Mus musculus: one gene and its partner. The protein of the gene in region 1 purifies or fractionates together with the protein of each later gene. This does not show direct contact. Links are inferred from orthologs where the notes say so. Each region holds a gene or a part of one and is shown on either strand. Other genes may lie near its edges.

The links.
Region 2: the proteins of Srsf3 (region 1) and Mepce purify together in Homo sapiens (affinity purification with mass spectrometry; 3 studies listed by BioGRID and IntAct, with this or other methods). This does not show direct contact. The link is inferred for Mus musculus from reciprocal best matches to the Homo sapiens genes SRSF3 and MEPCE.

What each region holds. Positions count from the first base shown.
Region 1 is NC_000083.6:29,031,070-29,035,489, reverse strand, and holds the start of Srsf3 (serine/arginine-rich splicing factor 3), read right to left. Parts: upstream 2,831-4,420; 5' UTR 2,704-2,830; intron 1-2,703. UniProt on the Homo sapiens protein: Splicing factor, which binds the consensus motif 5'-C[ACU][AU]C[ACU][AC]C-3' within pre-mRNA and promotes specific exons inclusion during alternative splicing.
Region 2 is NC_000071.6:137,783,840-137,788,238, forward strand, and holds the start of Mepce (7SK snRNA methylphosphate capping enzyme), read right to left. Parts: upstream 2,863-4,399; 5' UTR 2,224-2,862; coding exon 622-2,223; intron 1-621. UniProt on the Homo sapiens protein: S-adenosyl-L-methionine-dependent methyltransferase that adds a methylphosphate cap at the 5'-end of 7SK snRNA (7SK RNA), leading to stabilize it.

The sequences.
Region 1 (4,420 bases):
TATTGGGTTTTTCGAGACAGGGCTTATCACTTCTTTTAAAGACAGGGTCTCAAGTATCCCAGGCTGACCTTGAATATCTGTGCAAGGCTCCACAAACCCTGTATATGAGGCTTAAACTCTGTTTAACTTCAAATTAAATTTAACCAGAGTGCTGAGTGGTGGCCTACATCTGTACTTTTAGTTCTTACAATTCACAGGTGGAGGCAGGAGTTGAAGACCAGCTTCTGCTACTGAGGCATCAAACTATTTTTTGTTTTGTTTTCCGAGACAGGACTTCTCTGTATAGCCCTGGCTGTCCTCGAACTCAGAAATCCGCCTGCCTCTGCCTCCCAAGTGCTGGGACTTTTGCTGGGATGCAAAACCTTACATTCCAAGTTTCCTTAGGAGAGATGTAGAAGAATAAAGGCATAGGGAACCATGTCCACCTGAGTTCAGCTACGGGACACACATTGTAGAAAAACTACAAATTATCTTCTGACCTTTATTGTGGTGCACACACCATCCCACAAACACAAAATAAACTAAGGCTTCCTTCCTTGGGCAGAACCTGTATTTCTAGTTTTTAAAAGTAATTAATTAAGATCACAAGTTTGGGGCTGGAGAGATGGCTCGGCGGTTATGGTTAAGAGCACCGACTGCTCTTCCAAAGGTCCTGAGTTCAATTCCCAACAACCACATGGTGGCTCACAACCATCCATAACAAGATCTGACTCTCTCTTCTGGAGTGTCTAAGACAGCAACAGTGTATTTACATAGAATAAATAAATAATCTTAAAAAAAAAATCACAAGTTTGAGGCCAGGCAGGGCTACAGTTAAAGTCCTGTCGCAATCAAATACTTCCAAGATACACTGCCACAAAAATTTCCTTTACTGTCTTAACACTAATACCACTTTTTTCTAAACACTTCTCTAATAAGCAGTTAAAATTCTCCAAGCAGCCAAACCATGTGCTATTGTTCTAAGAAAAGTGTCTCACTGTAGATAGGCCAGGCTAGCCTGGCTCTCAAGGACTAAGACAACTGTGAGTCACCACACCTGGCTCCATTTGTTTTCCAAGCATATATTCAAGTCTCAATGTGGTTCAGTGGTGGGGAGCTTGTCTAGCATGCAACTGAAACTTAATCCCCAGAACTACAGACACAATGAAAAACATGTCAAAGCCTCACTACAGCACTGCTCTCAATAGTGAAAGCTGTGCCAATCTAAATGACTACCAGGAGATGGAGATCTAGAATGTGACACAGTATTCAGGAATATACTGTCTACTACTAAGTTTAAAAGTCTTGAAAACATTCTAAAACCAGAAAAGGCCATTACAATTCCCTACATGTGAAATGCTTGAAATGGAAAATCCAGACACTTAAAAGAAATCCCAAGGAGAGGCAGGGAATTCTGAGAAGGCCGGCACTACAGAAAAAGGAATGCAGAAGTTGAAGCATAACTTACCCTGTCTCAAAAACTAAGTGCATCAGGAAGGTGGTGTGCGCACGCACACACACACACCTTTGATCCCAGCACTCTGAAGGAGGAGGGAAATGATGAGTTGGAGACCAGATCTAAAAAAGTTGAGTAAACCAAGACAGCCAGCCTGATTTACAGCAAGAACTGTCTCAGGAACAAACAAAAATAAATATCTTGGAACCACACAAAGGTTCCACAACAAAACTATCATAGCTAGGAAGGCAAGCATGCTTGTGGCTCAACAGGCTAGAGGAATGACAGTTATGAAGTTTGCTAGTGACCCCCCGTCTTTTAGTAAAAAGTGCATAAAAGTAAATGTTGAGGTCTGCTAGGCATGTAGTGGCCTGCACCGTGCACCCTAAACTCCTGCGTAAAAGAATCTTTACTAAAAGGACATACAACATACAACCTTGAGGACATACACTCAGTAAGTCTTCAACTTCACACTTCCGAAATGAAAACCCTACTTAATAAGCCATTTAAGTGTCTTCCCTACTATACACCATAATGTTCAAACCGACTATTATCAAACTAAAAAATTTAACCCTATTTTGCCGTGACCCCACCCTGTGCCCAAGACTCAGTTGAGCGACCAAGCCATTCCGCGAAAATTAAAAAAACAAACAAAAAGACAAATGAAACTCATCCATCCCCGGTTTTCACACCTGTTAAAAGCAAATAGGTCAAAGAAAAACCCAACTCAAAGTGAACTATGATTTACATTAAGAAACGCAGCCTCATTAGAAAAGATTTTTAAAGCAAACACCAAGTCGGCATAAAAAAAAGATGAGACTGTAGGGGCTCAGTAAATACGAAAAGACCTGTCTTAAAAAATATATACAAAGTCCTCAAGACACTATACCAAGAAAACCAGGAGCAAGGAAGAAAAAGGCGCCATCAAACTAAAGGCCGCGACGTGGAGAATTCATTTAGAGATCTACCCCACACACACACACACACACACACACACACACACACACGCCGGCCACACCCCAGCCTGGAGCAATCCCTCTCCGAGCCTTCCTCCAAAGGACAAAAGATTAAGTCCGGGATTTACAGACTTGGAAGCATCTTCAACATTGCCCGGGGCCCCAGCCGCCGCCCGGGACCGAAAGTCACAAAATGGCGGCGGCGCCCCTTTGTCTCAATCTGGTGCCGCCATTGCGCCCGGCCCCACCTCGAGTCTGCGGAACTCCACCTCCCTCCCTCCACCTCCCTCCCTCCGTTCGCCGGTCCCTTACCGAGATCCTGGGTTCAAAAGGCCCAAGCTCAAATCCTAACGCTCCGACAGGCCCACCCGCTTCCCTCTGGTTCTGCTCCTACAGATTCTCGGTCTCGCGGCGTCACGAAATGGCGGACCACCACCGTCCCCTCGCCCTATTTATAGCACCCTGCTCTGCCACATGACCTGACCAGATCACCCAATCAGAGGCGGCGCAGGCTGTGACGTAAGCGCTACAAACGCTGCGAGAAACCGCGGTTACTGGGAGCGCGCGCCGGCCGTTCCGTCAGGTGGGTGGGGTACGCGCGGTGGCGCGAGCTCGTCGCCGCGTGCCGGCTTGTCCCGCAGATGCGGCGCTCGGCCCGGCCATCCCCGCGAGCCGCGCAGACGCCCCCTCTCCTCCACTTCCGCCTAGGCTGCAGCCGAATAAAGCTGTCCAGACTCTGCCGCCATTAATCCCGGGCGATGGCGGCTGCAGCCGCGGGCTCGGGTCAGAGTGAAACATGGACGCTTGCTTCCTCGTTGTGGGGCATCCATCGCAGACTAAGGAGCCTTATAGTCGCTCTCAAGGTCACCGAGCTTGGGCGACTTAACTGGTACCCCACGGTGCCCGGTCTGCGCCCCGATGCAGGGTAGAGCCTGCAAAGTTTGCTCAACTTTCGCTTTCCCGCCTCGCCCAAACCGCGCGCGCGGCAAATGCGACTTGATGAGGCTGCATGAAAAAACAAAAAAAAAAACAAGACAAACGGTCACAGGGCTCACTTTCCCAGGAGGAGAGCAAGGTTTTGCATAGGTTGCCTTTACGCTCTGAGCACGCAGCTCCGCCATGCAGATGCTAGGAGGGGCACCTGCGGCCTTTGTAAGGGCTTTGCTCTGGCTGCCAGACCTGTGGGTCTCCCTGGGCCTCTACACACAGACCCCAGGATAGCTGAATACCCTCGTTTGACAAGCCACATCGTTTGCCTCCAGCTCCCAGACGTATCCTCGGCCTGGCCCCCCTCAGGCTACTCTGATTTATTGGGGAGACTTAGTTGTTTCTGCTTCCAAGAAAGGTCAAAATATTAACCAGTTTTTCAGACACAACTCTAATGCTTTTGTTCCCCTAAGGGAGTTGTGGTGCAGGCTACAGTTGTTAAACCTGTTTTTGTTGTGACCTTCAGAAGATTCTAGCAAAACTTCATTTCCTTCTAGATCTTTTTTTTTCTTTCTGGGTTAGACATGCCTAGTATAGTAGTAATGGGGCTCATTTGAACGTCCTTTTGTCTTTTTCCTCTCCTCCCTGCCTCATAATCTCAGCTCTTGGCCCAAGGGAACAGGAGTCGAACTTTATGTTCATACATTTAGTGAGTTCTAGGCCAGAAAGAACTTCTTGAGATACTTTCTGAAAAACAACAAAAAATCTGATGTATCTAAATGACTTGTGATATTCTCTGTTCCAAAATTTTTTGGTTTGTAAAACAAACAAGTAATGACTACCAGGCTGGTGAGATGGCTCAGTGGGTAAGAGCACCCGACTGCTCTTCCGAAGGTCAGGAGTTCAAATCCCAGCAACCACGTGGTGGCTCACAACCATCCGTAACGAGATCAGACTGGAGTGTCTGAGGACAGCTACAGTGTACTTACATATAATAAATAAATAAATAAATCTTTAAAAAAAAAAAAAAAGTAATGACTACCTTTAATCCCAGCACTTGGGAGGCAGAAAGCAGGTGTCTGGTCTACATAGTTCCAGGACA
Region 2 (4,399 bases), on another chromosome or scaffold:
ACAGGGACATAGGCTGTCAGGCTGGGCACTCTCCTCCATGTAGTCCTCTTCACTGCCTCCCTCTCACTATTCAGTCAGCATGGGGAAGACAGACCCATGGGTTTCTGACCAGCAATTTCAACAGTCTTGTGTTGTATCTAGGGAAACAGAAAGCAGCTGAGGCAAACAGAGTCCCTATCAAAGGCCCCAAACGACAAATACCAGAGTGTTCCCCCTCTCCCAAAGACACCGAGCTTGAGGCTCCCTCAGGAGACTTGAGGACAAGGTTCCATGTGGACTGAACAGAAGTACCCTTGGGAAAGTGGACTCTCTGGTTACAGTCCCAGGTGGAAGCAGGGCAAGGCATGCTATGTTGGGGATGAGATCCTTGTCTGTAGTCATGAGAAAGGACCAGGTGTTAGAGCCTCAAGGTAGAGATCCCACTTTCCACGTTAGAGGAGCAGAGACAACACCCAGTAGAGATTCTCTGGCCAATCCTGTTCTCTCCAGGAGGTGGTTCTTGTATGGAGGAACAGATGGACGCATGGATACACCTCTAGGTCATGACCATCCCCCCAACACATTCCTATTTAATCTCATCTTCACATCTGAACCCTATTCCAAGAGCCTTTGGACTCTTACCGTGACGAAGACGACATTGTTGGGGAAGACAGATGTGTCCGCTCCATCCAAGGGCACTTGGGGTGCAGCGATGGGACCCCGGCTGGCTGTCAGTGAGGCTGGGAAGCAGCTCCTTTTTCGGACAGTGATAGTCCCTTCCTCCCCCTCTGTCCCTGGGTCCCCCTCAGAAGTCTGAGCTTGGAGACGAAGCTCCTCCGACAGGTAGTGTCGGATATTTTGGCGAGCAGAGTGGATAAGCCGTGGATCAATGTCCAGCCCCACCATGCGGGCTGGGCCCCACTTGCAGGCAATACTTAGGGTCAGATGGCCAACGTTGCAGCCCAGATCTAGGACGTCCCGGCCTTGAAACCACTCGGGCTTCAACACCCTAAGGCGCACGTCCTCACAGGAAGGATTGCGATAGCCATAGTACTTGCAGTAATTCCCATATTGGAACTTTAGCTGTTGCTTTTTGAAGCCAGTTGCAGGTAGTGGGTGGTGGTGGTGACGGCCTCCTCCACTCCCTCTGCCCTTTTCCTTGGAACCCTGGCTTCCACCCCTAGCCCCTGCCTCTGACTTGCTGGAAGTCCTGCGACGTTTGCGATGTCGGGAGGAGGAAGAAGTAGAGGGTGCAGAGGTAACTGAGGCAGCTGGAGGGGCAGAAAGGGAGCCTGAGGAACCCTGCAGGGCAGATGGAAGGGGAGACACAACTTCATCCCTGCAGTTGATGGCTGTGTTGAGTTCATAGGGTTGAGGGGCATCACGGTTCTGGCCTCTGTTTTGCTGCTGCTGCGTAGCACCCTCCCCATGGAGTGAGGGCGTGAGAGGGTCAGTGGGCAGCACGGCGGCGTTGCTATCATTCCCTCCAGACGCCTGCTGCTGCTGCTGGTGGTGCGGTCCCCGGTGTCTATGGCGCTTGCGACCAATCTTGAGTGGTGAGGCAAGCACTACATGGGCCTCGTCAGTGCAAGTGTTGAGACTGAGCGGGTCAGTAATATCTTTGGGGATGAGGATCTCCACAGGGTCTCGCCCCTTGGCCGGAAGTGGGGATGACTTTGGGGTCTCCGCATTGAGTGCGCGACTCACTTCCTCATCCAGGAGGCTATTCAGGTTCAGTGGATCAAATATGTTACCCCCCAGAAGGAAATTGGATGGTAACACAGAGTCGCAGTCTGAATTCACTCGCCGGCGCCTCTTGAAGGCCGGATGTTTGAAGCTTCCACCGCTCCCTCCCCCCACGTTACAGCTATTTCTTCTTTTGCCCCCACCACCCCCAGGGGGTCGGTGGGGCTGGTAGCCATTGCGAGGTCGAGGAGGGGCTGGGGGACCCAGGTCCGTCCCGCCCCCTCCCCGGCGCTCCTCCCCCACGTCCGCAGGAGCGGCGGCTCGCCCGTGGGGCTCCCCGTGCGCCTGTGCCTGGGGGCCGCCCCCTCCGCTGGCTGCGGCCCCGGCCGAGTGCGCGCGAGGGCCCGGCCCGTGTTCTGTCCCATCACGGAGCTCCCCGGAGGCAGCCTCTTGGTGCGATTGCACCTCGGGGCCGCCCCCTCCGCCCGACTCATCTTTGAGCGGCGGCGGCGGGGCCGGCACCAGAAAGGGCTCCTTCTCCGCCGCCATCTCGATCATCTCCTCTCCCTGTTTAATTTCCCCTTCTCAAGCGAGGGTACTGAGAAGAGAGCAAGGGGAAGCCCCCTGTAACCCTTCCTAAGACCACCTCACTCCCTCCTTCCCCGAGTGCGCGCGCAGCTCTGCCTCGCGCCTCCACCTCCCTCCCGCGACACACCAAGCGCGCTCCACTCGCCCGCGAGACCAAAACAAGATGCCCGCGAGACCCGGACAAGCCGAGGAACCAACTGCGCGTGCGCCGACTCCCTTTTCTCCGCCACTACCACTCTGCCGCGAGCGCGCACGACGGGCGCGCGTCCCGCTCGCCCAGGACCCACGCATGCGCGCTCCGCCACCACCCAGGCTGCGCGCGCATCGGGAGTGCGAACCAACTTAACGGCTCCGAGAGTTTAAATACAGCCCCCCTCCCTAATTACCTCACCCTCCCCCAGCCCGAGACGCCCACCGCCCCACACGGACACCCGACTTCCCTTCGCTGCTAAGTCCAAGCCCTACTGATATCCTTTGTCTCTGCCGTGCGATCCCACCCACCGTAGGCGGGGAACGGGAGCTGGTGTGAAAAGGTCTCCTTGACACCCGACCCTTGTTCCTGAGGAATGAGGCTCCGCCGTCTCCGCCCGGCTCTAAACCCAACAACCTCCCTGCCCCGCCTCCTTCCTCCCCCATCCCCGCCCCTCCTGGAGAGCGCCTGCGCACAGTCCTTTTGGACTTGCGCGGGTTGAAGGGGCAACACGTGCTGGAGATGATGTTCCGCCCCCTCCGCTCTAGGGGCGGGGAGTGTGACGTCGTTTCCTTAGGTTCATTACACGCAGCGTGCGTCAGCACGTTTCCAAGGGGCGTGCATTCCCAGCGAAAGAGGCGGGCTCATGAATTATTCATGAGCGATCGCTGGTCTTTTCCCCACCCCTTCCCCCCGCCCCCAGCCTATCTCATTAGAATTAGGACTTAGGAGAACCTGAGGAGAGGATGATAAAGTAGGCTAAGGAATCGAGACCATTGTCTCAAGAACTGTTATCAATAAAATGCAATATATTATTTAATATATTTTCTGAATTGAAAACAAACAAGTACTAAAACATCGAGATTGTCCAAACTCCTCTTCCCCTGAAATGGCCCAGTTGTTCAAGCGGCCCTCCTCCTTCCACCAGGGACAAACATCTAGAGAACTACGCCTTCCTCTCCTCCCTACACCTACGTCAGGCCTCGGACGCCGCTGCCATAGTGCAGCGCCTGCGTATCGGTCCCTCAGCGCCACCCGCTAGCGTTGCGGATTTTACAGCATTATCCCTGCAGCTAGACACACCGCGAATGTGGGCGGGAAAGGGTATCGACCTGTTTGGGCTCCTGTTTCGGCCAATGGGAAGCACTGATTCTATGCAGAATCCTCAGACTGATGGCTGGCGGAGTTTCCCAGTCCACAGACTATTTGTCAGGAAAGAGCACTGTAGAGGCAAGGGGGGAGCTCAAGATGGTTTCAAAATTTAAGAGGGTGACGACAACTAAAAGGTAGGGAGTGATAGCACGAAAACAGGAAAGAGAAAGCGATTTGAGGCAGAGATAAGAATGAAGTGCCTAGGGCGCTTCGCAGGATATTATGGGGGGGGGGGCGCGGAACTAAAGATGTCAGCGAGGATTATGGAACTTGTAGTTTCACTAGGCTTTCGTTCTTAAGATGGCGGGCTACTCCGGCTGCGCAGACGCAGAAGCAACTTCCAACTGCGCACGCGCAGCACCTGAGCGCACGCCGCTTGGGGGCGGAATTTGTCCGTGTCCTCGCGCCTTCTCCTGGTGGCGGGAAAAGTTGCTCGAGGTGGAAGGGATGTGCGGAATGGCTGCGACAGCGTTAGCTGCGCTTCACCTTTAGGTCCTCGTCGCCCCAGAAGGTAGTTGTCTTTTATGCGACTGCAGAGGAAAGTGTTAGTTGTGGTGACTCTCGGTACCTGTTGGCTGAGGAGAAATTTTCTCTTCGGAGCCACAGCGGACCTTAGCCCCTGCTCTTCAGAATCGCTAATCTTCAGAACAACAACAACAAAAAATAACCCAGTATTGCGGAGGGAAATGAGGCGTTGTGGGACAGCGAGGCTGAGCGGGAGCAAAGGGGAAGAGGCTTCCATGGTGGCGTTCTTGGTCCGGGAGAGTAGCGAAGCGTTACTTGACGCTCTGAGGGGAGGCGAGG